7 linked regions of the Nothobranchius furzeri genome follow. The protein of the gene in region 5 purifies or fractionates together with the protein of the main gene of each other region. This does not show direct contact. Links are inferred from orthologs where the notes say so. Each region holds a gene or a part of one and is shown on either strand. Other genes may lie near its edges.

What was found.
Region 1: the proteins of casein kinase II subunit alpha' (region 5) and prrc2c purify together in Homo sapiens (affinity purification with mass spectrometry; 3 studies listed by BioGRID and IntAct, with this or other methods). This does not show direct contact. The link is inferred for Nothobranchius furzeri from reciprocal best matches to the Homo sapiens genes CSNK2A2 and PRRC2C.
Region 2: the proteins of casein kinase II subunit alpha' (region 5) and osbpl8 purify together in Homo sapiens (affinity purification with mass spectrometry; 4 studies listed by BioGRID and IntAct, with this or other methods). This does not show direct contact. The link is inferred for Nothobranchius furzeri from reciprocal best matches to the Homo sapiens genes CSNK2A2 and OSBPL8.
Region 3: the proteins of casein kinase II subunit alpha' (region 5) and ark2n purify together in Homo sapiens (affinity purification with mass spectrometry; 6 studies listed by BioGRID and IntAct, counting the BioPlex papers as one, with this or other methods). This does not show direct contact. The link is inferred for Nothobranchius furzeri from reciprocal best matches to the Homo sapiens genes CSNK2A2 and ARK2N.
Region 4: the proteins of casein kinase II subunit alpha' (region 5) and cdc5l purify together in Homo sapiens (affinity purification with mass spectrometry; 3 studies listed by BioGRID and IntAct, counting the BioPlex papers as one, with this or other methods). This does not show direct contact. The link is inferred for Nothobranchius furzeri from reciprocal best matches to the Homo sapiens genes CSNK2A2 and CDC5L.
Region 6: the proteins of casein kinase II subunit alpha' (region 5) and chd4b purify together in Homo sapiens (affinity purification with mass spectrometry; 4 studies listed by BioGRID and IntAct, with this or other methods). This does not show direct contact. The link is inferred for Nothobranchius furzeri from reciprocal best matches to the Homo sapiens genes CSNK2A2 and CHD4.
Region 7: the proteins of casein kinase II subunit alpha' (region 5) and gramd1bb purify together in Homo sapiens (affinity purification with mass spectrometry; 3 studies listed by BioGRID and IntAct, with this or other methods). This does not show direct contact. The link is inferred for Nothobranchius furzeri from reciprocal best matches to the Homo sapiens genes CSNK2A2 and GRAMD1B.

Annotation. Positions count from the first base shown.
Region 1 is NC_091748.1:46,614,702-46,618,957, forward strand, and holds part of prrc2c (protein PRRC2C), read right to left. Parts: intron 4,188-4,256; coding exon 3,542-4,187; intron 3,466-3,541; coding exon 3,293-3,465; intron 3,096-3,292; coding exon 2,849-3,095; intron 2,764-2,848; coding exon 2,553-2,763; intron 2,459-2,552; coding exon 47-2,458; intron 1-46. UniProt on the Homo sapiens protein: Required for efficient formation of stress granules.
Region 2 is NC_091741.1:58,358,605-58,363,407, forward strand, and holds the start of osbpl8 (oxysterol-binding protein-related protein 8), read left to right. Parts: upstream 1-1,643; 5' UTR 1,644-1,857; intron 1,858-4,803. UniProt on the Homo sapiens protein: Lipid transporter involved in lipid countertransport between the endoplasmic reticulum and the plasma membrane: specifically exchanges phosphatidylserine with phosphatidylinositol 4-phosphate (PI4P), delivering phosphatidylserine to the plasma membrane in exchange for PI4P, which is degraded by the SAC1/SACM1L phosphatase in the endoplasmic reticulum.
Region 3 is NC_091746.1:60,555,828-60,560,759, reverse strand, and holds the start of ark2n (protein ARK2N), read right to left. Parts: upstream 3,289-4,932; 5' UTR 3,066-3,288; intron 2,521-3,065; exon of another isoform or gene 2,518-2,520; 5' UTR 2,445-2,517; coding exon 1,628-2,444; intron 25-1,627; coding exon of another isoform or gene 1-24. UniProt on the Homo sapiens protein: AMPK substrate important for exercise capacity and skeletal muscle function.
Region 4 is NC_091752.1:40,119,545-40,123,302, reverse strand, and holds the end of cdc5l (cell division cycle 5-like protein), read right to left. Parts: intron 2,995-3,758; coding exon 2,887-2,994; intron 2,796-2,886; coding exon 2,706-2,795; intron 2,628-2,705; coding exon 2,496-2,627; intron 1,641-2,495; coding exon 1,560-1,640; intron 1,145-1,559; coding exon 1,031-1,144; 3' UTR 825-1,030; downstream 1-824. Other genes in the region: supt3h (transcription initiation protein SPT3 homolog), read left to right, coding at 698-739.
Region 5 is NC_091749.1:31,566,808-31,571,063, reverse strand, and holds part of casein kinase II subunit alpha', read left to right. Parts: intron 1-2,842; coding exon 2,843-2,926; intron 2,927-3,185; coding exon 3,186-3,296; intron 3,297-3,386; coding exon 3,387-3,488; intron 3,489-4,256.
Region 6 is NC_091745.1:74,024,682-74,028,937, forward strand, and holds part of chd4b (chromodomain-helicase-DNA-binding protein 4), read right to left. Parts: intron 3,943-4,256; coding exon 3,694-3,942; intron 3,612-3,693; coding exon 3,496-3,611; intron 3,398-3,495; coding exon 3,298-3,397; intron 3,190-3,297; coding exon 2,976-3,189; intron 2,855-2,975; coding exon 2,733-2,854; intron 2,630-2,732; coding exon 2,506-2,629; intron 2,366-2,505; coding exon 2,193-2,365; intron 1,821-2,192; coding exon 1,575-1,820; intron 1,355-1,574; coding exon 1,151-1,354; intron 1,076-1,150; coding exon 864-1,075; intron 634-863; coding exon 502-633; intron 406-501; coding exon 306-405; intron 1-305. UniProt on the Homo sapiens protein: ATP-dependent chromatin-remodeling factor that binds and distorts nucleosomal DNA. Acts as a component of the histone deacetylase NuRD complex which participates in the remodeling of chromatin.
Region 7 is NC_091753.1:27,155,302-27,159,557, reverse strand, and holds part of gramd1bb (protein Aster-B), read right to left. Parts: intron 3,353-4,256; coding exon 3,249-3,352; intron 3,147-3,248; coding exon 3,051-3,146; intron 2,829-3,050; coding exon 2,748-2,828; intron 2,597-2,747; coding exon 2,481-2,596; intron 2,106-2,480; coding exon 1,937-2,105; intron 1,809-1,936; coding exon 1,619-1,808; intron 1,541-1,618; coding exon 1,397-1,540; intron 17-1,396; coding exon 1-16. UniProt on the Homo sapiens protein: Cholesterol transporter that mediates non-vesicular transport of cholesterol from the plasma membrane (PM) to the endoplasmic reticulum (ER).

The sequences.
Region 1 (4,256 bases), on a different chromosome or scaffold from region 5:
CTACCCAGATAAAAAAAAAATAATAATAATCTTATTTTTAACTCACCCTTTGCGGCCAGCCTTTCCTCCTCCTCTCCTCTCACCCTTGCCTCCTATGTAGCTGCGGCCGGGTTTGGCTCCGCTGTTGCCTCTACGATTGGGTCTTTCTATGGGCCTCTGACTTGAAAAACTCCTCTTGGCTGCTTGAGAAGCCTCTCGTTTTGGAGTCACTCCTCCATCAGGTGGACTTTTATTGGGAGATGAAGAACCGTGTGGAGGTGCAGGCACCGACGCTGGGGTGACCTCAGTTGCAGCCTCCAGCGCTCCTTTTCTCTCCTCTCGTTCTCTCCTTTCATTGAAATCACTGCTTTCCGAAGCAGTTTCCCATTCCTCATTGGCCTGATCTGAAGAGTTCTGGTTGGACAAGTCAGGGGATTTGGTACCCACTGCAGTAATGGAGGGACTACTGGCCTCTGGCAAGGACACTTCTAAGGGAGAAGATTGGCCAGGTGCAGGTACAGCAGCTGTCACTTCTGCAGGCACAGTTAAGGGAGTTCCTGGAGCTCTAGACGTGGGTGGAGAAAGGGCGGATTGGGCAGGAGCTAAACTAGGGCCAGCTGCAGCAGGCACAGAAGCTAAAGAAACTGGGGGACTTGAAGCTGTGTCACCACCAAACCCCCCAGCCTCACGTTCTTTCAAACGTCTAAAGCGGGGGGGTTTATCTTGCCTTGGGGGCCGTGTTGGTCGGGATCGACGAGGCCGTTCTCTGCTACTCTGAGGCCCGCCATCTCCAAACTTTTTACCCTCTAATTTTGGAGGTCGTCGGTCGGTGGAAGGATTGTCGTATCTCGCTGAAATATCTGCATCCTCAGGCCTGAATGTCTCCATGGGTTTAGAGGGCCACTGCGAGGAGGAATCTCTGGCCGCTGGCCTTCTATGAGGAGCCGAGCGAGGTCCTCCACGGTCTCTTGGTCCACCTCTTCTACTGTACAATCCTCCTCGTCCTCGGCGAGAAGGCTCTCCTTTAGGAAGAAATCCTGGCTTGGGCCGGCCTTCTTCATCCACTCTTGACCCCAACTTTTCTACCCCGTGAGGCGGCTCACAGCCCAGCTTATGGTGGGAACGGCCCTCACCGGGGAGATCTCTTCTTAGTGGACGGCTAGGTTTGGTGCTAGGCTCACGATCAGAGGGTCCAGTATCACTGGCAGACTCTCTCCCACCTTCACTTTCAGAGTCTGTGTCGGAACCACGGCGCCGCCTGCGTTTAGGAATGACTTCAAAGTCTGAGCTCTCGCTGCGTGTCTCACTTTCTTCTCGGTTGCGAAAGGCAGCAGCTCCTCCAGCAGAGGGTAAGTCAGAGCGTAATCGAGGCTCCCGATAAGGGTACTCTGCTCTGCTACGACCACGACATCCCCTGCTGCGCCCACTATAGGTTCCTCTGTAGCTACGCCCTCGTGAGTAGTACTCCCCTCGACCGCGTCCTTTGAAATTTGAATCAGGAGGCCATTCTCTCTCCCTGTCCTTGTCTGTTTCCTTGTCACGTTCCCTCTCTCGATCTTCTCGTCTGACACGTGGAGGAGGAAAATTGGAGTCTTTTCGAGACGGCAGTTTTGTTTCTGGATGTTTGTCGTTACAGGGCAGCTTGTCTACTTTCTCCTCCTGAGAGGAAGAGGTGGGCACTCCTGAAGAAGGCTGAGAGTCTCTCGCTCTGGGGTGGGAAATGGAGGATTCCTCCGTCTCAGCATTTTCCCTCTTGCCCTCACCCTGAGGTCTGGTGCTTTCAGACACCACTGCAGCTGCAGAGGGAGCTTTAGACGACTGATCCCTTTTGGACCGGTCCCCCTTTTCTCCTCTCTCATGACGTTTTTCTCTCTCCTCTCGTTGCTCCCTCTCCTCTTTCATGTCCCTTAGAACAGGCTTCTTTATTGGTCCTGATCTGCGAACTGGTCTTTCTCCCCCTAGCCCTTCTCTGCGTCCAGCCCCAGATCTTCCACCCCAGCGAAGTTCAGCTTTCTGCTTGCTGGGGCCTGGCAGAGGCAGTTTCTCTGGCTTGTGTAATCCATCTGCAGGTGGTGTAGCCCTGTTAAGGGCTACAGCAGCTTGGGAGTAGACTTCATTCTGGTGCTTGTCTGAAACCCGTTCTCCTGTGTCGTGTTGATCTAGTGATTTTGTTGCCGGGGGTATCCCATCAAACCTTAGCTCATCTAGCTTAAGAGAGTGGCTGGAACCCTGCGAGACACTTCTTTGAAGAATGGCTTGACCAATTGCCTCTACCTCCTCCCCACCTGGTAAACCTCTCTCAACTGTGTCAAAGGTAGAACTTACAGGGACCCTTTCTGAAACATCCTCAGGGCCCTGAGTAAACACCGACAGGGATTCTGGATCCCGGAAAAAGTTACTTTTACGAGAGTCAGCTGTACTGGGATCCTGAGCATAAATAGCTGGAAGACCCCTGTCCAGATCCAACCCAGAGTCGATCCTAAGAAAGCAAGAGAATAAATAAACAATTATATAAATAAAACGAATGAAGAATACTTGATTTTTAATTTATTTATTTATTTGCAATACTTTACCTTTGTTCCTGGTGGTCATCTCGCCCTTTTGGAGGAGTTACAGTGCGTAACGGTTCAGACTGTGGGTATGGATCTGATCCCCAAACCATTCGTGAGTCTGAGGGCAGGCCGTGGTCTCGAACCGGTCGGGACAAGTGATCGAACGAGTCAGAGCTGGAGCTGGAGTTGTCACCTGCCTCTCTGCGTACAATCTGCTTTGGAGGCATTCTCCCTGATAAGGTGAAACCACAGAAGATGTAAACATGTCAGGGAGCCTTTATTACATAAACCACAGCCCAACTCATCCATATCCTCACCGGGGTGCATGCTAGCTGGCATGTCCATAGGAGGTCGGCCCGACATCATGCGAGGATCCATGTAGGACTGCATCATGAGCCAGCGAGGGTCAAACCCCATGGAGGCCAAGTGCTGGTGGTGGGGGCCCATTGGTTGGTACATGGAGCGGTGCTGCTGCTGTTGGGAAGCTGGAACACTGCCAGCACCTGATGGGGACACAGATCCCCCGCTTTGCTGTTGTTGCCATTGCTGCTGCTTCATCTGCTCCTGTGGAATCAAAGTAACATTTAACTTAACTGGCGTCTTCACCATTTATATAACTGATTAAAATGTTCCTCTTCTCTGACAGTTACAGGCATATCTCAGCTCCGTCAGTAACCATATCCTGGATAATTCACGTTATAATCAAACCAGTCATGTTTAGGTCTTATCAAAGCCACAAGGCCATATTTGGACCAACGTACCTGTTGTCTGAGGAAACGTGGTGGCAACGACTTTTGAAACTGTTTGGAATAGCCTGACATAAGAGAGGGACGAATGGCAGCAGTGGCCTCTCCTTCTAGTTGTGGGGGCGCAATAGGGACTTCTTCTCCTCCTGGAGTGTCCATGTGTGACAGAGACAGATGGGGCTCATCCACTGTAGAAAAACAGTACCGTTAAGACAAAGTTGGTCAATTTGATCCAGAGTAAAACTCCATCAAGCGTTGGCTCACCTCTGTTGTCCTCCAAGTTAAAATAGTCATGGATAGGTACAGATGCTGTCCTATCCACCTGGTTCTCCTCCACAAGAGCACCGACCTCCACTAAGGTGAGTTCTCCTTGGCTTTGTGGTTCTGGAGCTGTTGCTACGGGTCTTTGGGTTGGGGAGCTGGGCTGATGAAGTAACTGAGCCTCATTCTCAGCACTTGGTTCTACTCCCTCATGTTCTTGCTCTGCCCTTTCTTTGTCTGGACCCCCCCTCTCTGATACAGGGTCTTGGATGACTGGGACCTGTGATTGTGGAACTGGTACTGAAGGGACAGGACTGGATGCAGGAACTGGTGCAGATGGGGCGTCCTCCCCTGCAGCTCCTGCGTCGTCATTAGTGGTTTGAGCATTGGCGGTTTTACTCTCATTTGCTTGTTTGTGTTTTTCATTTAGACGTTTAAGTTTTTCTGCACAAGCAGCGAGCCTCTGCTCCTCCATTCGCCGTTCCTCCTCTTCCCTCCTTCGTCTTGCTCGCTCTACAGCTTCAGAAACTTCAGATGTCTTTTTCCGCTTCTGTCGCCAGGCTTCCGAGTCTTCATCAGCAGCAGGTGCCACAGTAGCCTGTGGTTTGTCTCCACGTGGAGCAGTACTCCCAGCAGCACGGCTGACACTCTGCAAACAGGAATAACAACAGATTAGGTTACATGATACTAAAACATTGAAGAGCTAATGGCTAGCTTG
Region 2 (4,803 bases), on a different chromosome or scaffold from region 5:
CAAGCTCCTCCCTATATTATTAAATTGTTAAAGCCTTATGCTCCAACCCAGTCCTCAGGTCCACCCACCAGAACCTTCTAGATGTTCCAAAGACCAGATATAAAATTTGAAGTGATGCTCCTTCCAGACTGTTGCATCTTGACTTTGGAATGCTCTTCCTTTTTCCTTATGTAGCATTGACAGTCTTAAAAAAAACAGCTAAAGACCCTTTTATTTAAAGCTGCTTTTACCTAAATGTTTTATTTTCTTATTTTTAACTTAAATTTGTAATCTCATCTTCTTTCTGATGTTAATCCACTTATGATTTTGAGATCATTATGATTTTATGACCTTGTTTTATTTTGTTTTAATCTAAGTGAAGCACTTTGTGATTCTATGTCTGTGACAAGTGCTATATAAATAAAATTCACGTACTACTTTCTTACTACTAAATCCAAGCCTATACATTTCAGACCTGCAACACATTAACAGAAACTGTGGATGACACAATTGAACTAATATTGAGTTTTAAATAAAGTAATATTTTTTAATATTTTACACTTTTATTTCTATATCTAATGCTTAGTGACTCAAATGAGTAAAAACATTTTATTGTTTTATTTCAGTGTGGAAATTCAAGAGTTTGTGAAGAAACTAAAAACACAGAAAATATAAAACAAATAACGATTAAAAGCAAACAATTTAAACAGTAATCAAACTAAACAAATGTGTATGTACGAAATCACAAAACAATATAATTTAACTTTTAAACCCAATGTTCTGAAACGTAAACGAGGACCATCATCCAGCAGCCACAAGAGGGGGCCATTTAATAACTGTTATAAAGAGCGTCTGATTCGTACATCTTTTAAACTAAACTAGAAAACCATAATGAACTCACATAATAAAAATGATCACGCCTTAGTTATCATATAATTATTTCATTCATCCACAAATTAAAATACTACGCGTAATAAGGCTTCAACAACTTTATTTGTATATGCATTGCTTAAATACATATATATGATTACAAATATGGAAGAATATACAAATAAAAGAAATAAATTTGAGAGCTAATTTTCATCTGTTGAAGATTATTACATAATTCCATTTATTTTCTTTGATATTCGTTAAGTGAAAGTACCTCCCAAGATCACATGATTAAGTCCACCCGAGCAGGAAGTGGAACAAGGTCAGCCTTCACCCTTCAAAATAAATCCCTACAGGTAGGTGCAAAAATAATATTGTACAGTAAAATCGTTATTCTCATTATTATCACTGGTACATTTTCTTCAGTTTACAAATGAATTGCAAAATAACCACTGACAAGGAGCTTTGCTGATTTGAATTTAATTGTTTTCAAATATAAAATCATTTGTGTTTTCGTGTTAGAACTGTGGAGAGCTGGTAGGGTCTCTGTAATAAATAATATATAACCCCTGAAACTTACATAAATTTAACCCAGTAATTTTCCACTTGACTGATAGCAAGATGCAACGCTTACTTTGCTTTTATGTTGAAGTTTCAACCCGGAAATGACGTTCGTCTCGGATGTTGTCATGTTTACCCACTGAAGCCCTTGGTAGAACAGTGCAGACGCACTGATGGCTAACAAATAGACTGGATATGGCGGTAAATGGAGTTTAGCGAACGCACCAGAACCTGTTTTTACCTTCCCCGATATAAATATTGGATCCACGTGACTTGGCTGGACCGAGAACCAATCGTGGAATTAGGCGTCCCATTGAGAGAGCAAACTAACGTTACAAGCATTAATCACCGCCTGCTAACAATTAGCAGACAGACTCAACCTGCATTAATATTTACAACTAGTCTGCGAGCCAGAGGTAGCCAAGAGACCCCGCCAACTCAGCAGAGGTGAGTCGAGCACATGATCCCCGAGCTCTGCTGTTTTTACCCCCCCCCCCATCTTCTGATAAAACGCGATTATTCTCGATGTGTCTCCTGGCGGGGCGACTGTGACGCTGCAGTCGAGCAATCATGCGTCTTATTATGTAATAAGTCAGGATTAGCGGGACTGGTGTGAACTTGTTGCTGCTTGCTCATCGTCAGAGGCTTCATCTTCACTTCTGCGTCTGTTTTTAGCAGAAAACGACCAAATAAACGTTAATTAGCGAAAGAAAGTCAACCGTTCAGTAAGGTGTGACGTACAGGTGGCTTGTTTTACTCGTAGTTGTTTGAGTAGCAGATTGTGTTTCAGGGCATTTGGACTTACATTTTCCTGCATCATCGCAGTCATCTGATCTGGTTCTGGTTCTAGTAGTGCTCTGTTACCACTTTCACCTGGCGAAGCTTCTGTTTGTGTCGGGCAACTCTGGTTGCAGCCGGTCCGATATCAGATACCAGTCTGCCACACAAGTGGCCTGTGATTTCTAAAATGTTTCATTCTTTCTGCTCAGACAGCATGTTGATCAATCACAGTTGTTTTCAAAGCTGTGATTATTCTGGAGCGAATTGGTTATGGAAATATATGATCAAAGTTATTTTGTTGAGCATTAAAGTCTTGATTATTTAACGCAGTTACATATTGGGTTGGGAAGCTCTTTGATTTGAACACTGAGGTGTGGCCCAATAAAATGTAAGCATCAAGTTCCTGACACATGAAGAAAGCCTCACTCTGCAGGACGTGATCTTTATTTACCTTATTTGTATTTGTTTGTATTGTATTTGTTTTATGGTAAATGGTAAATGGCCTGTATTTGATATAGCGCCTTCTAGAGTCATGGAACCCCTCAAGGCGCTTTACAATACAATCAGTCATTCACCCATTCACACACTGGTGGGGATGAGCTACGATGTAGCCACAGCTGCCCTGGGGCGCGCTGACAGAGGCGAGGCTGCCGAGCACTGGCGCCAACGGTCCCTCCGACCACCACCAGCAGGCAACGTGGGTTAAGTGTCTTACCCAAGGACACAACGACAGCGACAGACTGAGCGGGGCTCGAACCTGCAACCTTCCAATTTATGTCTTCATGTAGGTTGCGTAGTTTGAATGAATGCCTTTAAAAATATATGCGTTAATTACCAACAGGCTTTGTGTTGAAAGCATTGGATGTGTTCACACTTGTCAAGGTGCAGACTGATATCATCAAACTAAAAGTCTTTGCTAGTCACAAAAATTAGTGAACATAAAAATTAGGTAAAGGTGTCATTTTGTATCAACAGCCTTCTGGAGTGAAAATTCCCACACTTTAGGAGTTCAAGCAGGGGCTGCTCAAAATTACGCCGAATGTCGCAGATGGTCCGTGGACCACATTTTGGACAATCGTAGAATATCCGGAGTTCACATTTAAAGAGACTATTTACCAATGAATGTCAGCAGAATGTTTGAAAATGAGACTCTATTTTAACAATGGCTGAAGGAATGGAGTGAAGTGCAGCTTATTTAGTACATACTATACTGTTTGATGGTGTTATATGTATTACTTTGTGGTGATTATATCATCAGAAGACCGTGGACTTGCCACTTACGGAAGTTACCTGTATCAGCTTGATTGAGTCGTTTACATGGAGATGAAGTTGGGCTCCTACTGTATTATCTGGGCACTTAAGCATGATGACCATTTCTCCTTCAACAAGAATAATGTGTTTACATGCATTTAAAAATAAGAAATGCTGATCTATTTAGGGTAATTGTTAATTTTATGATGTGCAGGTAAACACTGATAGTGCCCAGGCCAATGAGAGCTCAGCTGAGCTGTGATGTCTTTTACTTGCAGAGAACTTTGGTTTTCTATCCGCATTATCATGGTACCTTAGGTGGAGTAGGAGTAGGCCGGTTTGGTTTGACTTCAGTCAGACACAAAGACAACACAGCAGATTAGGGTGTACGTTCTACTAGGGTAGGAGATGCTCTCTGAAGAGGTGGGTCTAATAGTTACTTGCAGATAAACAAGGACGCCTCTTTTCTGGTAGTGCTTGGCAGGTCATTCCGCTATCGTGGTAGGCACTGCCAGCCAACAGTCCTCCTTATAAACTCTAGAATATAAGCCATGCATTTCAGCATGAAGATGAACACATTCGAAGATTCTGACATCAACAGTTTCCACATAAGATCAAATGACTAAAGTTAAAAGAAGCTTACTCTGTGTATTTGTTTCTAAAGTGAGCTTTCTGAGTCATGTACATTTCCATATTTCCATATGCCCCCTGTACATGTAAAGGAGGTTAAGCTCAGAATATCCATGAAAACGTCTGTAGAGGGGAGCGAGGGCATCACTGGAACAACCAGCAGCTTATTTGCAAGTTAAATAGAGTTTCCGTTCAGGTTGTGTGACCCACAGTGAGTGGCTGTGTGCTACCAAAGGTACACCCAGCTTCAGATTTGGTTACAGATTCTACTTTGGGAGTATGTGGGATGTTTTTACCAACATAGATGAAAACAATAGTATGGCATTTGTTTTTTTGGATTCTTTAAAGTAGGGCTGCAACAAACGATTATTTGGATAATCAATGAATCGGATGAGGTCTCGACACGATTAATCGATTAATCTGATTACATGGGGAAATTTTTAAAAACTGCTAGGGAAACGTTATTTCTCTCCTTCCTTCACTTTATTAAACACAACATTATTAGAAAACAGATCAATAGCAGAAAAACAACATGCCATCACCTAAATTGTCTTATAAGGTGTATAGACAGAGACCCTAAGCTACACCTATCTGTGACCTAAAATGCTTGGTCCAAGTTAAACAGCAAGTCAACCCCTACCAGAGTCTAACTCCACTCCCACTTCATGTTTGAAAAATGGAACAAATGCTGTTGCCTGGCAGACCGAGAGGGCGGAGCCACTAACAAATACG
Region 3 (4,932 bases), on a different chromosome or scaffold from region 5:
TCTCCGATCCGCGTCTGAAGCCAGCTTTAAAGACATTGAGGCCAAAGCCATAAGAAAATACAGTGGCACGGTCATGCTTTGGAGGTGGACGTGTGTATTAAATAGAAAATGAATGTTTTTATTTTTGGTTACGTGCAGAAAGATTCTTTCATGCTGATGAACTACATCATGCGGTTGTAGCACTCAAAACTGTGGCCAGGATGTAAAAAATGGCTGAAAACATTTTATGTACTAAAAGAGTCATAAAGGAAGAAAACTGGATGTTCTGAGTCAGCAACTATGGTCTGGAAAACATGTTAACTGGTGAGTCTTTCGAGTACACACATATAATATGGACTGAGATAACCTGAACTACAACATACATCTAATACAGTTTTGTCATCGTTGGGGGAAAAAGTCTTCAGTTTTACAAAGAACCGACTCTGTGGTCAAATGTCACAACATCTCTCTTTAGTGTCCACTTTTCACTGATTTATGTGAAATGTGACCAATAGATCTAAATGTAAATACGTGAAAATGTTTAAAAATTGAGATACTAGGCTTTACCCCTACAGCGACTACATGTAAAACGAATCAACAGAATTTTAAATAAACCAAAACAAACCGTTTATACTAAATCAAATGCAACTGGTACTTCAGTTGGATAAAACTGAAATCTTGAGGTAAAAAATTAAGCTGAAAAGGCCAGATTAAAGTAAATAAAAACATTTCTTTAAACAGCAAAAAAAAAAAAAAAAAAAAAAAAAAACCTGAGCTGAGTAAAACGTGACACCTGAACTCACTCAGGAGACTTGAGAAAAACAAACGATGCAAACAAACAACAAACCCATCCAGACAGTTAAATGAGTTTGCCTCCTGGTGTTTACCAGGGTTGAATGTTTTTATCACCACATCCACTCCCAGATGTGCATCATTAGGCCATTAGACACATGAAAATGCTGCTGAATATATAGAAAACTACAGGAATAAATAAAAGGCCATGTATGGGAAGAGTTCATTATAAAACCAACCCAGGACTTCTGCTAGAATATTTGATAAATAACAGGATATACTAAACTCCAAGCAGTAATTTGGGTGATGTTAATATTTATTCTTTAATTCTCCAATGAGTTAAAAAAAATTGACATGTATGTCTTATATTCTGGACCAACGTGGCCTGCTTCTATCAGTTTAGAGCAGAGATTGGACAGATCCATGACTCACTGGACAAAAAAAAAAAAAAAAAAAAAAAAAAAACAATCACTAAGTAAAAAATGATTATTGATCCATGGGTTGAACAATGACAACTAGAATTCCACAGCATGCAAACTATGAGACACCACAAAAGATGTAAAGTGACGAGTGACAGGACAACTCGGAACAACATTTCTACATTTAAAGACGATGAGAATGGCTATCGATGAATGAGAAATTAACAGGAAAAAGAAAAGGTGGTTGTCAAAAGGAGCACAAATAAAGCCTTGTCCTTATCAGAAAGCACACATTCTTTTATCAAGTTTAACTTTAGGTTTATGTTTGAACTTCTAAATTATACAAGCAATTATACAAGCAATATTATAAAGTAATGCTATTGTTTTCTATGTAAAGTACTGCGCTAGAAGGGTGTGATAAGGTAATGGGAGGTTACCTGGAATATCTGTCTTGATTGTCTTGCTGCCTCCTGAAGTATCATCATCTGAGGAGCTGGTGCTGGAGTCACACGTCAGCTCACTGTCACTGGTACTGCTGTCCTGCAGCAAGTTATACTTCTTCCGTGCTGCCGCCTCTCGTTTCTGCCTCAGCAGGCGCATACGCTCTTTGTGTTTCTGGCTCCGGGGACCTTTAACTTTCGTCAACTTGCCATTGGTTTGTTTCTCCTGCCCAGTCGCTATTGCCGTTGGCTGACAGCGGTTCTTCTTTGCAGCCATTGCAATCGGAGGCATCTCGCTCTCCGAATGCGACCGCCGAGACTTCCTCCCCCCAGAAGCAGTGGCAGATGCTTGTCTTTTTGCCATTTGCCCAGGATCGTTTACAGTTTCCATTCCACCCTCGTGTTCTCCTACAGGGGGAGCTGCCCCTTCTTCCCCTGAAGAAAGCGTGTCTGAGTCAGCCAAGTGTCCACTAGATGAGGGAGAGAGCATGCAAGGATTTGAGGAGTCACTCTCATAAATGTTGCGTGACGCTGGCTTGTCACTCCCTGTAGATGCATGCTGGGACTCGGGGGAGTCTCGGTGGAGCTCCTTCATGAGGCATGGCATAGAGAGGAGACTTTGCTCCCCTTCGGTATTTAAAGGGCTGTCAGCCTCCTTTTCCCTTGGGGGTGAACTAGTACTGGTGGTGGTTTCCGTTTTCAGGTTCTCATCCTGTTCTCCTTGAACAGAAACTATAGCTGATTGTGCTTCATCAAGGCACTCTGGAGGGCATTCAGCATCCAAAAACTCCTCTGCCTTCACTAAATCAGCCATTTTCTCCAGCTGATGAAGCCCAGAGCCCAAAGGTCCAGCCAATTTGGACCAATGTGCCTGGACAAGAACTCACCTGCTAAAGAGAAAAACAAGTTACTAACTCTAGCCAACAGTCAGTTATTTTAAAACTTGCCAGATTTCTGTTAACATAACACATGCAATTTAATTTAAATAGAGGGTTTGACGTCATTTTAAATATCAAACGTCTCACTTTAGCCAAATTTTCTAAAAATGGATTTACTGCTTAATAAAAAACTAAAGTTTTCGTCCCATACTATAATATCAAATAAATCACGCAATAATCCAACACGCATCCAGACAGTGAGTCACGTTTATTAATAACAAAAGGAAATACTAATAAGTTGTGTCCACGGCTAAACAGAAATCCGGCTTGAGCTGCGTAGTGAAGCTTATTTCGGTCATGAATCATAACCTTCGCAAATTTTGCCAAAATAACGCAAGTCGTGAGGAAGAAATGTGGCTTGCAGAGAAGCTGCATTGCAAAATCCTTTAAATGGAAGCAGTATCTACCCAACCACAGTTCTATTAGGCAGGCTCAAGTTAGCGGCTAACAGCTAATGCAGAGGTAGCTCAAGCAGCACTCAGCTGCTGTTAACTCACCACAGCGTCAGTATTTTATTCTTATCACAATGTCGGACATCTGGACATCTTCGGTAATCTTCAGACTGTCTTCGACGAGTTGTATGACCAGCACACCGCTCAAATCACTAACTATTTACAGTTTAAATAAAATCCTGCGTGTTTTTGACGTAAGCTGCTCGCAGGTTCGCAAGCTCTGTAACAATTAGCAGTTAGCTTCGGGTTTATTTAAAATGTCGCTCACAAAGCTAAACGTACTACTTCCTGTCTCTTTGTCACAATAGAGCGCCCTCTTGAGTCGTATTTTGGTACTACAGTTTTAAATGATTCCTAAAAACTGGTGAATTTATGGATTATAGCAAAAATAAAATATACAGTTTGATTCTAGAACAAGTCTTAGCACAGTGTCCCATGGCTTAACAATAACGTAAAGGCCATTAAAAATGTTGGTTTAATAGTTTATGATATAATGAATTTGATGATTTTCCATAATAAAAGCTCTAAAATAATCAAAATGTCTATTAGAAGCATTAGAAAACAATAATAATTATTATAACTATATCTACAACAAAATGATGCCAATAAACACTCAGATTGCATCTGTTGTCTGTATTTTGAAGCTCTGTGAGCTAAAATGTATTTTGAAAATATGCGAACAATATCTCGGAATTTATGCTATTTGTGAGTCACATAGAATCCATTTGTTGCTCTGCCAATACAGCATACTGCTGTTTGTTTTAAAATAGACCACTTTTTCATCTCCACTTAGATGCTGAGAAATGTATGTCCTAGATATTAAATCTGTGTTGGACTCTGTCAAACCCCATTTAGCATTGAAACAGTTATTTGAATCCTCTTTAACAAGCCACTGTGGCATAGTCTGCAAAATATGTTAGAGATTCTTCTTTTACCCGGACCTGTTACACATGCATTTTAAAGGCAAACATCATTGAAAAGGAATTAATTGTCTATCAAAGCCTTACTTACCAGGTTATGAAATATATTGTTGAGTATGTTTAGCTCTTTCAAAAAGGCATGGCTGTGTTAGAGGTTTTTGCAAAATTACCAAAAAATTGTAATTGCATGAAAAAAATTAAAGGCACTGTTTCACTATATGAGTAATGCTTGAACAAAACATTTATTTACTCTTCATATTGGATCAAGATAGAGAACTGAGCAGCTTCTCAGTACAGTTTTAGGGGCCACACCCTGGAGAACGATCTCCTAGGTGTCAATTTTGCTGATTTTTTGTTTCTTGATCATTCGCCATAACACTCTCTCCAGCATTTGACTTCAGCATGCAACAGCAAAATAATTGCTTCAAAAAGGTCTCCTCCTTTGGCTCTCTGAGTATTTTGCTGGAACAAGACAAACCGTTTTCCATGTTTAGGTCTTCCACAGTTGCAGCTGGTTTGACATTAAGGAAAGGGTTGATGTGTTCACAGGTATTTGAATCACTTGACTTGGCTTCCAGCACATTCTTGGAGCAAATGCTTTACTTTCATGAAGACTTAGAGCCCTGCTGGTGCAGGGTTCTGGATCAAGCATGCTGATAAGACTCCAAGGAAGAGCTGCTGAATCTGCTGTAGTCCACGGTGATGAAGGGATGGGCGAGGATCGCGCTCGGCATGATCTTCTCATTTGCATCCCAGTTCAGCATCGCCTTCAGTAACTCAATGCATTCCTTCCTCTCGCCTCATTTGGGTTGTCAATCTCTTGTTTAATCTGATAATTAAACAACACATTAAAATCAATCAAAATAATTGATTTGATTGTAAAATTATTCATTTCAGTTATTGGTGCATGAGTGAGAGTGAGATACTTACAATTTTTCCATTATCTAGAGTGCGAAATCTGCAGCTCCTCGTGATTGTAAAGTATTTCTGAG
Region 4 (3,758 bases), on a different chromosome or scaffold from region 5:
TCCTCCATGCATAACGCCCCTTGTTATGCCCAAATAACTCAACTTAAGTTTCATCAGTCCACAGCACCTTATTCTAAATTAAGTGGGCTTGTCCAAATGTGCTTTAGCAAACCTCAAGCTCTGTTTGTGCTGTGGTTGGAGAAAAGGCTTCCTCTGCATCACTCTCACATGCAGCATCTCCTTGTGTAAAGTGCACCGAATAGTTGAACGATGGTCAGTGTCTTGGGTGCTGCACGGTGGGTTGACTCTGTTGTTTGAGACCACCGTGTAGCTACTCTTCAGAGAATATTCAAAGAGGAGGGAAACTTACAACTTGCCCCATAAAACTCTCTCATAATTTGATTCACCTGTGTGTGGAGGTCAAAGGTCACTGAGCTTCCCAAACCAATTTCGAGTTCCAATAATTTGTTCTAAAGGTTTTGGGATCAATAAAATGACAACAGTGACCAGATTTATGCACCGGCCTAATTTTGTTTAAACAATTATTTCACTTTCTGTAAACCCTATAAACTTTTTTACTTCTCAGATCTTAGTGCATCTCCTATATTTTTTATCATAACCAACGATTTATAAAGGAAAATCACGGAGATCAAAAAGGCTGCCCAATATTTCACACCCCACCGTATGGCTGTGACCTGCAGCATGTTTCCATCTTACCTCCTGGTGTTTGCCTAAGGTGTGGTCTCATTCTCCCCAGATTACCTACAGGAGGAGCGGGATGGCTTTCCTCACCTGCTGATGCATCAGCCCACATCTTTTTTCAAATGTAAATAATTTTATTTTTTATGTAATAAAACTTTTCAGTTGAGTTCACACCATTGCTGTTGGTTTTATTGTTGAAAAACTTTATTGGTCACTAGTACAGAAGCAAGGACTACTGAACACGCTCAAATCTCAGCTGCTGACACATCACGGCAAAATTAGCACACAGAGGCAAGGATTTCCACTGGGATACAGTCAGATGGTTACAGCAGGTTTAAGAGGAAGCATTGTTTTGAGTCATGAATTAATGAATCTATCGATGCGTTACTCAGAATTTCTGCGTACTGTTGAGCAGCGACTCCCTCTCCATCAGGAGCTCTCCGTATCGCTGCTGGAGTTCTCGCTCTCTCTCCATCTGCCTCTCCACATCTTCCCGCAAAGCCTAAAAACACCAGAAGGTCAAACAAAAAGCTTTACTTGGTGGTAAAACTTTGGTTTGTCACCAAGTAAAAGGATTTCCTTCTAGAAAATATGTTTCTGGGCAAACAGTTCTGATCAGTTGTTTGTTTTTAAATAATTACATAGTTTATCAAAAAATGGCAACCTCGTCACTGAGCCAATCAGATCATAACAGCAATGAAAATAAAACTGGAGCCTTTTTTTCTATTTATATATAAAGGCCTTGGAACATGACCAGAGCATGGCTGGAATACATATTAATGGCTTTTATCATTTTATATTTGAGTCATTTGAAAACTGAGAAAGTTAAAATCTTACTTAAATAAGATTGTGAACGTAAATCCAGCCTAACGCTCGGAATGAGCAGGTGTGTGTGTGTGCGTGTGTGTGAGGGTCACCTCCTGTCTCCTGGGAATGGCGAGGTCCTCTTGTTTTTTCAGTTGACTGAAGGTCTGGAGCTCCGTGGCTGCCTGCTCCACCTGGTGGACAAAACAAGCACAACATGTCAAAATAGAATAAATTTACAGTCGAAACTAACAGTGAACCTGTATTTAAAAGCTAAACCAGCTGTTAGTTTACTTTTACAACAACAACTGTTTTTGCTGATAAACTACGAGCGTCTAATGGTGCTGTAGACATGTGTAGTCAGTAATTTGGCACTTTAGTGCATCTTAGTTCAAATTTAAATATTCTGCCTAAAACCGTCAGTGTCCCTCTTCAGGTAAAAACTCTGCACAGCATTTGAATTTAAATCCGTTGTCCCTATGCACTAAGAGGTACCCTATGATGTAAGCTGGTACATTATGATGTCACGGTGTGTGTGTGTGTTCTTGTACATACTACATACTGAGGACCATTTTACCTACAAAGTGAGGACATTTAATTGGTTCTCACTTTTTTTTTTAGAAGCTTACTATACCAGTTAGAGGTTTGGTGTGAATTAAGTTTTAGTTAAGGTTAAGAATAGATTAGCATTGGTTATGGTTAGGGTTGGGGTATGGGTTAGGCATAGTGAAATCACAAAAATGAATGGAAGTCAATGGAGGGTCCTCACTATGATAGAAAGACAGACGTGTGTGTGGCTTCGCCCTCTTGGTTCACCAGCAATGCCTCCTTGTGTCGCATTTTTCAAACAGGAAATGGGAGTGGAGTTTGACTCTGGTAGGGGGTGACTTGCTCTTTAAGAGCAGAAACATGGAACTCTGGTTTGTACACATTAAGATAATTTTGTTTGGCATTAAATGATAAACATGGCGATCCATTTACCCTCAGATGTGTACTATTGACTCTAAAGGAGCATCTTCCTTCCATGCTGACACAAATCTGCTCATTACCTGTTCGTAAAGCTCATTGTGCTGCTTCAGGAGGCCCAGGGCTCTGGACTGAAAACCTCCCAGCAGGATCTTCAGTTTCTTCTCTAGTTTAGCCGCTCGCCGAGCTTCAGCTGTCATGTGACCACGGTTCACCTGCAAAGGGCAACGGAGCCGGGGTCAAAGGGCTGGGACTCACTCAGCTTTTTAATAATTACATTTTAACTTTTTCACCTCTAGTTTTTTCTCCAGACTTTCAATTCGATCTTTCTTTGAAGCCAGGTTGGCTCTGGTGTACCTGCTCTGACCAGGTAGGTACAACACCTGCACAACAACAGCATCTTCAGCTTGATGGCAGTAACCCCAGATTGGTTTCATTTGTTCATCTCCTTTTGTTCACTGTGAGGATGCTCACCTGCCCATAGCACTCCTCCCACACCTGAGTGTAGGCCTCCAAGCTGAGATCACCATGACCCATTCCTGCTTTCACCACGTCCATTTCCGCTGCCAGGATGGCCGTTGCCTGTTCAACAGATGATAGAATAATTACAACCAAACAGGAGGTACAACTCTGTTTAAAGCCGGACCACGCTGTTTTTCAGCCGTCGCTCAGGATCGCTCATGTCACACTAAGAACTCCAGAGAGGTGGCACACTGTGCAGTACAAGATTTCAGTGATCCAGATGGGACAACATCTTGCTCCAAGCAGGACACACGTCGCTAAAAGCAGACAGCTAACCAAAACAAAGCTGAAAAAAGCGCCACTGTTACTTCTTAGTCTCACGACCCAGCTCATCTTCCTCAAAGAGGAAGTATCGTTTTCAAAACCCTTGCTTTGGTCTCAGTCTGCTTTTCCTGCTGGACATCCATCCTTCTCATCATCCTGTACACATAACGAAACTCACTAAACTACAGAGAAGTAACAATCCATCACAAATTGCTCCAATATCTAAAGTTTTGCCATTATTTCTGTCTTTCACTGTTTACTGTCCAACATGACTAGGATTGGACACCGCTTGAATCCGAGCGGTTTTGAATCCGGTTCCTATCGATTCCCGATTCTGACAGGATCTAAAAACATCTAAACTTTAGCATGAATTTTTATTCTGTGAACAATAACATCACCTTCATTCAGACAAAAACATGTTTTCAAGAAAAAGACTTGCAGCACAACCAGTGTTTGTTTCCGACCACAACCAAAGCCTGGGAACGATTTTTTATTATATTTATTGTCCGTATCGACTCCTGGTGGCCAGAACCCAGCGTCAGTCATCCACCACAGAGAAA
Region 5 (4,256 bases):
AGGTGCCACTGCCAGGGATGGTTTTGAACAGAGAGCACTGATCATTGATGTGCTGCAGGCAGCTGTGTCCTGGGCATGGCCCCAGTAACATTCTCCAAAAATATAAAATGACACACAATCATTCATGTCTGCTCAAATTCTTTCTGGTACTTACTTTTAGTCAGGAATTGTCAGAACTCATCACCCCTTAGTCCAGTGACTTCACCTCACTGGTGCAGCCTTGCGTGCACTCCGCTGTTTTGCGGTCAGTAGATGCCTTTGATGTGCTTAGTTCAAAAGTAATCCCTGAGGTGAAAAAGTAGAAAGCCAGGAAACAGTTTTTCTGCAGGATTGAGAGGAGATGCAGGAAGATGAGACGGACAGGACAGGAAAATATTCAAATAAAAAACAATTAAAAAAACAAGTTTACTTTTATAAAGCAATCATTTATAAGCATGTAATATTTATATATTTTATACAATTCAGATCACTTTCAAAACGCAGTCCCACTCCCAGGGCCGTATCAAGGCATTTTGGGGGCCAAGGCAAAATAAACCCCCCTCTCATTGGACTCCCCCGGAAGCCTCTGTAATTCGTGCCCTACGAAGATCCCGTTTCAGCTGATCCTCCCATTTTAATAATAAGCAACAATAAGGCTCAGGGGGTCAAAGGTACCATGCCAAAAAGTCAAAGCCGTGTGTGACCTACTTTTTAAGTAAATTAGAAAGTTTTAAAATGCCAGAGAAACTTATTTTCTGAGAAACCTCATAAAAACGTCTTAATGTAAAGCCCTTCCTCCTCCAATCTTCAGTTTCCTGTGTCTGGGGCCTTCTGGTTTAAACCAACCAATTAGCAAGCAGCTCATTAGCATATTCATGTCCTGGCCAAGTGGGAGGGGTGAACAGCTCTTGTCACAATAAGGTTGATTTAGAGGGGTTTAGCTTGGATTATGCTTGTCTGCGAGGTTCGCACGGCTCCGCGCGGCAAAATTGCGTCATTTTAACAACCACGCCCCTCCACCGCGCCTCCGCACGGCCCAAATTTTCCGCACCGCGCACCTAGGAAATTTTCTAACCACGCGGACGGTCGGATGCGGAAAAACATGGCGGACTGGCAAGAACTAGTATGGCAGAGGTTCATAAATACAGACATTTGTATGATTCAGCTCTCAAAGATCACCGTGATCAGCATGTTGTTAATAATTCTTGGAGAGAAATAGCTCGCACTGTCGGAAAAGACGAGGACGCTGTTAAAAGCTGGAATGCCATGTTGTAAACAGTCATTTTTACTTCTACTATGGTGTAGTGCTGGATGCATGCCGTAGAGCTCCATGCTGCCCCCTACAGTTTGGGAGAATATTGGCTCACCGCAGAGACGAGCCGCATGAACCATAAACACTGCGAGTTGTGAAGCACGTTCCATCCGCGAGCCGCATCACCGCGCGGAAAGTGAATGTGTCAAGCATAAACCAAGCTTTAGAATGGCCTGTATCAGGGCTCCTGGGACAGATGAAAGCCAAAAGAAAATTTCTTATGCTTCTTCGATTCAAAGCAGTGTTTTAGATTGCTGATCAACTGCATTCATTGTCCCCTTTAAATCAATGTTAACAAAAGTAAATACACAATCATGGACCAGATTCGAGACTGTAATGGTGGCAGGATACCTCAGAATAGTGCTACGCCCTCTGTTGTCCTGGCGGGGAATTGTTTTGCAACAATCCCCAGCTGACGGAGAAGTCTGTGACCAAAACGTTTGTCAGTGCGTGTGCGTCTCTCCCTCACGGAGCTGACGGAGAGGTAGAAATTAGGCTTTACAGTTTGCTGAGTCTTTAATGTTATTTGTCGTTAAACAGAGAAGCTTTGGTGCTGTTTTAGAGAAAGATGTTTGTTAAATCTCAGTTTTTTGGCTGTAAAACACAGGTGTTGTTGGTGAGTCTAGTGGATGTGATGAATATGTGCTTGTGCAAAAACCTGTTTCCAGGTCTATTTAGGTGAAACAAGAGGAACTGGAAGTAGGACTTCTTAGAGGGTTGAGCGTGTGCTTTGCTACTGAACACACAGCTCATTTTTTATTTTGTTTCTCCGTGGCTAAATTTACCGGTAGAGCTGTATTTCAGGCTGATCATCTCAGGGTGGATGTACACAGAGAAAATGCCGCTGTCCCATTTTTCTGGTTATTGGGGTCACAATTTCTACACGAGTGGTTACCTGGAAGAAAAGTGAAAGCACCCACACCAGCTTATTTCTGAGAAACTCGGACATCAAGAAAACCTTGAAGAAGTATTTTGGCCAGTTTGAAATGTGTTGTATGTAAAAGTTCTGACTTTTATTTGTTGTATATGACTTCCTGAGTGGGCTCAGCAGAAATATTTCTGCCAACACAACCCTGGAATGTAATGAAAAGGATTTTCACAAACTGCTTGTAAAGCCTTGGTGACTTGAGCTGTTAACAGGACGTTTGAGAGGAACGCCATCCACCAGCAATCTATATTCAGCAAATAAAAAAATCAAAACCCTAGAAAAAAGAATGTTTAAGATGGCCAACCAGTCCCATGTTGGCGTGATGAGACAGCCACACAGTCAGAGAACAATGTACCTTCTTTGTAGAAGTGTTACCTGTAAAGAAAAGGAAGAACATTTTCATAACATAATCATCCATTCCTGTTTTTAAAACATTAATACTTAAAGAGACAAATACTGAAGATTGACTCTGAATAAATTAGCCAAACATAAATAGTCTGTGTGACATAAACAGTAAAGTCCATTCTCAGTGCTAAACAGGCCAGATTATAAACCTGATAATCTGCCTTTTGGAAGGAGAAACTCGCTCTGCTCAACAGTTGAAATCTCTGTTTTTGTTTAAGGCTCTGGACTACTGTCACAGCATGGGCATCATGCACAGAGACGTGAAGCCCCACAACGTGATGATCGACCACCAGCTGAGGAAGGTGCTGCTCAGTTGTTTATTTACTCCAAAAACAACACCTCAGAAACAATCATGTGCATCTGTGTGTCCATTAATGAATCTGGCACTGACAAACTTTTACATGAGTCACTGATGCCCTGTTGCATCAATAGTTCATGTTTAAGTCAAACACACCCGGTTTTTGATGGGATATAAAATGACACTAATAACTTGTGATGTTGTAGATTTTACTCGAGGGAAACATGAGAGGAACCCAGTAACGTGTGTGTGTTCTGCCACAGCTCCGGCTCATAGATTGGGGTTTGGCTGAATTTTACCATCCCGCTCAGGAATACAACGTCAGGGTGGCCTCTCGTTATTTCAAAGGCCCCGAGCTGCTCGTGGACTATCAGGTAGATTTATTCAGACAAAAGCACAACTCTGAGTCAGGCGGTGTGAACTCTGATGTCATGTTAGGGTTCAACTGTGTTTTTCTGTTTTAGATGTATGATTATAGTTTGGACATGTGGAGTTTAGGCTGCATGTTGGCCAGCATGATTTTCCTCAAGGAGCCATTTTTCCACGGCCAAGACAACTATGATCAGGTAAGAGGTGAACAAATGATGTGTAAAGGAGGACAGATACATATTAATAAAGATGAGTTTTACTCTCTGACTAAATAACATAAAATTTAAGTTATAATGTTGACTCATTATTTGTGTCAGACAAATATAAAAAAAGATGCTTTTAATCCCAGAAGAACATTTCTTTCCTCCACATGAGTGGATGAATTAAACACGTTTTTGTTGATATTTTGTGAATGATCTCTGTCGGTGGCAGTAGAACAACACTCACAAGGTACTGCACTGTAATGTGGCTCAGTGGCGCCCCCTGCTTTGTGTCTTAAAACTAACATCACAGCAAGTAATCCAACAGAAACTGGGTTAACTCAACCTGTCCTTAAAGTTGTGGATCACTCAAATCATATTTTAATTATTTCTGATTATAATCGGTCACTCTGAGGTTCAAATGTAGGTTGAAAATGAAAATAGTCTCCTACACCTATCTGCTGCATTAGCTTCTTCTGATAGAAAATAGACAGTAAAACTCTAGGATTGGAAAAGCCTGACAGATCTACGTCGCACTGTCACTTAACATTCATGGACTCACCCATCTTGACTCACGATGGGGAAGGCTGCTGTTGGTTTAGCATCTAGGAAACAGCAGAGAATGTATCAACTAGTAGAAACTAACTGTTAGCATTAGCAACTCCACCGCACAGAAGAACTCCCTCAAGCTGGAGGTATTTGTGGAGATAAAGCATCAATGTTGCAAAGCAATCAGTCAGTGGTTGGGTCTTTTTCTGTTAGCCA
Region 6 (4,256 bases), on a different chromosome or scaffold from region 5:
AGCATTAGCTCGAGCTAGCGTTGTTCTGCGGTTAGCATTACCACGACCAACATTTACAGGTTTTTGGAGTTGAAGTTAGATGGGACTTGCAAACGTAAGCTTATGATGTGTTAAACCAGCTTTTCTCTGAATGAACAGTTCCTCTGTGGCCATTAAAACGTCACTAAGTTACATGAGTAAGCAAGACGGCAAAGACGTTTTGGTATGCTACATTAGACACCCCAAGCTGCCTATAAACGACAAGGTAAATGTTGTTTTAAATTCTAGGACACCTTTACTTTCTACATCCAAATAAAAACACTCACATCTACAACTGGGTTAGCAGGTGGCCGCTCTGCCTTTTTCACTTTGACGGTCTTCTTAAGCTTCTTACCAGGTTTCCCCTCCTCCCCCGTCATCAGCTCTCTAATAAAGAAAATTAACAGCATAAATAAATAAATAAATAAATGAGAAACAGAATTCCCACATAATATAAATAAATCCCAAAATGTTCAGAATCACCTGTGATTCCAGTAGATCTGCTTGTATGTGTCATACTCAGGAATGTCCATGTCTTCACTCTCCCAGGTGGACTGGTCATATGCCAGATCTCTCCACTTTATTAGATAATGCACATTGTTCTTCTTATCAACACTAAAATTAGATGCAGAAAACATACAAACAAGGCAGGGTTTGATTAAAAACTAGCTCTTTGTGGTTTTTTAAAGCTTTAAATTTGATCATTTTGAGTCAGAAACTTTAGAGTCAGAGCAGAAATAAATCTGAATACCTCATTCAATCAATGTGGAATAATTTAACATCCAGTATGTTTCTCCTGACTCATTTTACTACTTTTACCATCATATGTCAAACATGTATCCCACCTGTGGTTAAGGATGCGGTGGATCATCAGCCACTCCAGCTTGACTCCAAACCGGCAAAACTCCTCCTCCATGTGGACAAAGAGGGGATCTTTGTTCTTCCTCTTGGTGCTTTTGTCATCATCGCCCTCACCTCCAAAGTCTACAGGAGGAGGATCGTCCATGTCGGTCTTCCTCTGGTAGTTACGAAACATCACCTGGCAGTTCAGCTCCAACTGGGGAAGAGTGGCAGTAGGTAGTAAATTTGTTGGAAGAAGCAGATTCATGTCCCAGTGAGGAGATCTTAGTACCTGTAGCTCCTGCACCCAGGAGCAGTGCCAGTAGGACATATTGCACCATTTGACAAAGAACTCCCTCTCCCTGCGGCCCACCAAAGGAGGAGGATCAGGAGCATCAGCAGGAAGGTCAGGAGGCCGAGGGACAGGCATGGGGGCTGGTGGATCCCCCCAGCGCCACAATAAAACCTTCTGCACTTTTCCCTTCATCGGTGGACACTGTTGAAACGGAGCGATGGCTCATAAATGTTACCCGACATTTACTGCACATGGTGAAATTGAGAAAATACAAACTGCATGAGAGCCATCATTTATTTGAAATATTAAGAAACAACAAATTCTGGAGAATTACGAGGGAAAAGGGCTCCACATCTGCAGAACGTGTGTTTGGCAGTCTAGAAGCAAACCCATGTGAGCATGCGCAGATCACAGCGCTCACCTTGCAGCGGGGGCAGATCCACTCCCCGTTGGGGATCTCAGGGAGAGGAGGATTAAGGCAGTGGATGTGGTAGGAGGAGGGGCAGGTGTCACAACACAGCAACTCTCCACCGTCCTTGCACACGCGGCAAAACTCGATGTGATGGTCGTCTTCCTCCTCCAACCCTTCATCTCTCCTGTCGTCATCGTCCTCCCCTTCGGCCTCGGACAGATCATCCCTGGCCTCCCACTGGATCCCCTCCTTCTCCTGGAGCCAGAATCACAGGCGAAGGAAGAAGATGGTACGTGTGTGTGTGATGGGGGAGGGGGGGGGGGGGGGCGGCAGGCAGGAAAAGTATGTGGAACAGAATAAAAAAAGGGGAGGGTGGGTGGGGGGGTGTGTTTGAGAGAGGAGTCAGAGAGAGGGAGAGTGACAAGAGGAATTTCATGGTGAGATGTGTGAAGGAGAATAAAATATTAAAAAAACATGAGCAGAGAGGTTTTGTGGGGCAGAGAACAAAGAGAAATTAATACAAAACAATGATTAAAATTAAAGTCTTTCCAGACCACAACATCCTAAGACGACTGCATTTTTCCCTCTTGCTGCTCCAGGATTCCGGTGGTTATTAAGGACACTCACACAGTGTGGGCAACTCCACTTGCCCTCAGGTGCTTTCTCCATGTCTGGGTCCAGACAGACCATGTGATAGGCTCGAGGGCAGGTGTCACACAAAATGATCTCCCCGCCCTGCTGGCACACCTCACAGTAGTCCTGATGGTCCGTCTCATACCCGTCACCATCTTCTGTTTCCACTGACAGAGGGGTTTACAGAGAGAGCGTCAACGACAGAAGTTGTGAAATACGTCTACTGCCTTCTGTTCTTGAAGCTAATTTGAAAGTTCACACAGCTGATCTGTTTTTGTTTAGATTTTGGGGATAATTTAAAGCCGACCTTTCTTCTTTTTCTTGGCACTCTTAGATTTCTTCTTAGAACGGCTGCTGCGGTTGGAGCCATCAGAAACAGAGAAACTCCCGTCATCGAAGTCACTGTCGACATCAGGTTCATCTTCATCGCTCTGATCAGGAAAGATGAAAATTAAAAATCGGCTTCTACTTGAAGTTTTATTTTCTCTGCTGGAGAGACAGTATACAGAAAAAAAAAATTAATAAACATCTTACAGATGAGCGCTTCCTCTTGCTGTTGAGGCCTCCCAGTTTGATTTTGAGTGGAGCCACCTTCTTGGGTTTCTGTTTAGCAGGAGGTTTAGACGCAGGCTTTGACCTCTTGCGAGCATTTGGGCCTAGAACACAAATAAAAAAACAAAATTCAATATATACTCAATTTTGTTTGAAAACTGCATTTTTAAATAATCAAAACTGAAACGTAAAATCCCATTTTTTATTACGTTCATCCAGCTTTACCTTTTCCCTCTTTGGTCTTGGCTTTGCGGAGCGGAGGTGCTGGAGCAGCAGGAGGTGCAGCTGGTGTTGGAGCAGGAGCTGCAGCGGCGGCAGGAACTGGAGCAGGAGCAGCAGGAGGAATCTCTGCACCTCCATCGGTCCCTGCAACCACCATGTTCTCCACAGCTGCAGCCACATTGGCAGCTGCCAAGGCTGCATTAGCAGTGGCGCAACCCTGAAAGGACAGGAGCAGAGTGAGAAGCTATGCACTCTGTGGACAAAAACGAACAAAAAGCATAAAACAAATGTATTTGTTTGAATGGGGGGGGGGGGGGGGGGACACCTTGAGTGGGTTATTTGTGCTGAATTCCCTCCATTTAGCCATCATTAAAGTCATCATTTTGGACACAGGAATTTTGGGGTTCTTTGCAGCAATTAAAGGCCTAAAACACACATAAGACCAGGTTTATTGTGGCTTTGTATATTTTTTTTATTTGGATATATTTAGCCATTTATGATCCTAAAAAGTGAGTTTCCTCACCTGACAAACTGACTGAATGCCTTGTAGTTCGTGAGGGAGCTGTAGTCTTCCTGAGAAAAGACGTGGTCAATGTCTTTCATGCCCCAGGCCTCCAGCAGCTGCGTGGAGCTTTTAGGCTGGGGGTTGGCAGTGGGCGGAGAAAAGTTAGTCCCCCGTAACAAAGTGAAACATACATTTAAAAAAAAACTGAAACTTTACCTGGCAATCGTCGTCATCATCGTCGTCATCATCCGGTTCTGGATCTTTACGTTTGCTCTTTGAGCCTCCTTTCTCTCCTCCCCCTCCTCCTTTCTTCTTGTCTTTGGCAGAGCTGGAGCGTTTTTTCTTTTTTCTACCAGGTGCATAATCACTTCCTTCACTCTCTGACCGCATACCTCCCTCATTTACATCCCTCTCTGCTGCCTCCAATCCAATCAGGTGCTCTGGGGAGCTGACTGGCAATTCCTGCTAGATAAAGAAACACTTTGCTAATTACACAAAGACATGGCTCCTTACAAGACTTTAGAAATGAGAAATTATGAAGAGCTATTGTTTTTGTCTCTTGTACAAATTGTTCCTCTATTAGGTTGAATAAGGAAAAAAGAATCGACTGTGCGCTTTCATCCCTGGAGCACTCCAAGCATAAATCCTTCTGATTTTCAGGTGAAGTTAAAGTAGTTTAAATCCATTGGTCAACTAACAGGAAACACATTAACTACCACTTTAAACCATTTAAAAGAACATGTTCAGCCAAAATCGAATGTTTTAACGCCTCACATGTA
Region 7 (4,256 bases), on a different chromosome or scaffold from region 5:
GGGTGGTACACGACATCTGGATGAAAAATAATGAAATGGAAAATAACTTCTTTACCTCCCTGGAAGCCAAATTTCAATTAGTGCAATACTAAAGAGTTTTTAACACCAATATATTGCTTTAAAATGGTTTCAGTGGTTCTTGAGACAGAGACTTGTGTAAATTCACATTGGACAGCACTCTGTAGCCCTCTGCAGACCAGAAACTGCACTTAACAATTTTGTGATTCAGGTAGGAATACTTGTGGGAGGTCTCTCCGTGCTGTACCACAATAGCTGTTACCTGTGCCAGCTAGCAGTTAGCGTTTTTAGTTTGCCGACAATTAATAAAAAGCACAAGAAGAAGAATAGGTTTGTTGTTAGCATCATGTCAGAGTAAGGAAGTAAAAGGAAGAGAGAATGTTTTGGAGATGAAGCGAAGAGCTAAAACCAGAGTGAACATCCGCAAGGCCTAAACGCATTTGAGGCTGCTGAAGGAGGCTACAAAAATCACAGATTGATAGTGACCTGGCTTTGTTGCTAGTAGACTTATGATATTTGTTTGTCCAGCAGTGTGGATTATTTGACTTTGTAGCTTATTTAGTACCAGTTGGCTTGTGCTAGTGTTAGCCTGTTGTTATAGATAGCTACAGCAGGGTTGTTTAAGACAGTTGTGATTCTATACTCCATATACTCTGTATATGAAGGGCCAAAGCCGCCTCCACCTCCTGAGGAGGCTGAGGTCCTACGGAGTTAATTCCCAGCTGTTAAAATCCTTTTATCACTCTGTGGTTGGCTCTGTTATCCACTCTGCTGTGGTCTGCTAGGGTGCAGGCAGCTCTGACCGAGACAGGAAGAAACCAAATGAGCTAATTCACAAAGCTAGCTCGGGTCTGGGCTGCTCATTGGATACAGTTGAGGAGACGTGTGAAAGGATGTTGGGGAAGATGAGCTTCATCATGGAAGACCCCTCCCACCCACTGCATTCCACTGTGGAGACCATAGAATCCTCCTTCAGAGGCAGACTGACACATCCCAGATGTAAAACAGAACACTACCGTAGGTCATCCATCCTCTCTGCAGTAAGCACGTAGAACTCCTCAGTTTAACTGGTACTGGCATTATCCTGGTGCACAATAACATCAATGCAGTACTCGGTATGTGTTCAATACTTGCGCAATACTGGATGTACATAGTATGCCTGTGTCCCTTATACTGCATAGTTCTGAAAACGCAAAATTTATTGTTATTCGCCGTGTTTAGTGGTCGAAGGTTACAATAATAGCTTACTGCCCTTGTGTGTTAACCTGTAATCTTATTATTTTTCTTCTTAATTTTCTCTAAGTGTATGTGCTGCTGTAATGAGTGGATTTCCCCTCTATTCTATACTTTAACTGTGAGAAATGTTGGAAGCACTGACCTGAGAAGCGCCTCTGCTCCATGAACTCACTCATGAACTGAGACTCTGTGAAGAGGATGTCGTAGAGTTTGTCCACGCTGAACTTGTACACCTCATTGATATGCTGCCTGCCGTTCAGGTCCTCGTGAAAGGCCTGGACCTCGCCTGAGGAATCCCGGAAAGGATGACACACATGATAACATCTGAAAAAAGAAGTTATTTCAGTCTAGCTGGGGTACGTACCCTCATCATGGGTTTCTGAGGAGTCACTGAGCTCGGTTGGGATGTCCTCGTTGTCGTTAAAGTCCAGTGATGGCGAGGGAACAGGACCACCAGGCCTGCTTGATTCACTCTGCTCCTCCACCACTAGAGGCACTGTCAGTAGCTCGCCGTCCGGTAGACAGTCTGCAAATTCCTCTGCTGGGAGTTCAAACTGGAAAAAAAAAACACACAGGCATGGGTGATCCACAACAGGATGCAGTAACTCTTGTTAGAGACATTTCCTGATGTTATTATGAGCTTGAGAAGTACTTGAAGTGTGTACTTGTGTTTATACGTTACCGTGATGGTTGTGTCATGGTTGCTGGGGCTTGGGATGGAGCTGTTTGGGACAACTTTCTTTTGCAGCAGAGGAGAACTTCCCCCCTCAGGCTTAGTTTGCTCTGTGCTGGTTTTTGTCAAGTTGTCATTGTTTATCTCATTCTCTTCGTTGGGAATCTCTTCGCTGAACCTGGGGTCACCAGAGGACAGTAATTCAGTTTTCTTCATTCCTTTTCAAGCAAACGTAGAGGAGCAGCTTCTTCTAATATCACCAGCATGTCAAAAGGTGATTGCGGACTTCTTGCACATCCAATAATGACCCAAATTACTGCTTTATGTGTGTGTGATGCAGAAAAGAGAACCTTGTAAATCTGCAGAACTTGGCCCTGTTCTCGTTTTTCCTTTGACTTTTTATCAGTGACCTGATTACAAATGTTTATTCTAAAATGGGTTAGGTGTGATGTGTTACGATAAATGAGGTGCACCACTCCGCACCACACTGGTCTTACTATTCAGAGCTGGACTCAGTTGCATCAATTGTGTGGACAGATCCAAGCAAACTTACCCCATGGTGTTGAAGTCGTCATCAGGGGGAACATAGTCCTCATCGTCACTGGTCAGGCCAAGCTCGTTGCCATAACACTGATGCACAAAGTGCCACAGTTCTTTTGGACACAGGGGCTGCAAAAAAAAATGAAGACAGCAACAGACAAAGAAAGATTTCAGAAAAACACAAGAAGTATGCAGGAAGGAGTATCAGCGGTTCCCGGTGCTCACTAAACAGACACGTGTACAGTCTCTGCTACAGACACATGCTGGATGCTTTCCTCACCTTTTCGAGCAGAGCATTCTGCCACAATCTGAACATCATCATGTAGGTCCTGTCTCTGGCTCCAAATGAGGTAAAGAAGTGCTGAGAGAAAAGGTAACACACACCTGTTACTATTACTGCTTATTGAAACCATGCTCTTATTTTGAAGAGAATGGTTCTAATAGTGATCACTGCTGGATCCATTCTTTAAACACATATGTGAATCAGGAGCATGCCCCCTCTGCTGGTGACAAAGCCTGAACTACAGCCAGCCCTCATGCAGCCGTGGAGGTGAATCCAGGTCAAATATTCTGGGATCGTTACCTTCTCAGAGTCGGTGCAGACCTGGATGGCATTGGGAATGAGGCGCGCAGTCTTCTCTTTCGTCATTGAGCAGATGTCCTTTAGTCGCACCGTCAGCTGAATGCACACAAAAGCACATGATCACACACACTCGCACACACAAACACCCAATCCTGCAAGTAAAACGTCTACAGAAAAGCAGGAAGTGAAAGGCCGTACAAGTGTTTCCCAACGGAAGATGTTGCTATAGAAACAGATCCAGTTCTCTGAGAGGTAGAGTCGTCCCTGCAGAAGGATGTCCCGCTGAAGAGCACAGGAGTAGTCTGCAATCAAACAAAACACAAAAAAACTCCTTTAGGTATTTACTGCTGCAAGAAAAGTTGATGATGTAGAGAAAAAATGGATGCCAGAGTATGGCTGTGTGATGCTGGTCCTAAAGGGACCTATTTAAATTGTCCCAGATAACACCGAGCATAGCTCCAGTTAGACAGTGTGCTCTAAGTCATATCTTTAGCATCAAAACTAGGATCCTGCTGAACACAATAAAGAAAGCTGCAGATGTGTTCATTTGTAGATATCAGCTGATGCATTTAATTTTTTATAAACTGCTGATGATGTTCACAATGAAAACAAATAATTTGGCTGCTGAAGCTTCTGCAGCCTGTGTGTGTGTGTGTGTGTGTGTGTGTGTGAACAAGGAGCAGGAGGATGAAGGCAGAGCTTGGAGGGGACACTAAAAGCAGAGAAAGTGAGCAAGCGTAAGTCTCATTTTAAGCTAACCTTTCTACATAAAAACATCCGAAGACGAGAGATGTGAGCTTATAAAAGACTTTGTGGGTTTAAGAGAACAACGCTGACACAACTCTGTGTAGCAAGTGACTGGTTCAAAACCACAGTTAAAAACAAACAAAAGCAGCTCACAAACAAGCTATAAAGTAAAGGTTTTGCTTAATTCACAACACTAGTCCACCTGGAGCAAGAACTCAAACCATTTACACATGACTAGACACTGGAAGGTAATGCAAAGTGGAAACAAAACAAATGTCTTCTAGTGGTTGGCTGTGGTATACATGTTAAGCCCCTCCTCCTTCATGTAAACAAAGCTGGTTTTCCAGGAGCACTACTCAGCTCTGTTCAGCGTGGTTCGAGTCAGCTCACCTGAGTGTAGTCTTGTTTCCCTGCCAGCTCCATGACAGAAAGTGAGTGCACCCCTCATAGGTGCGGTGG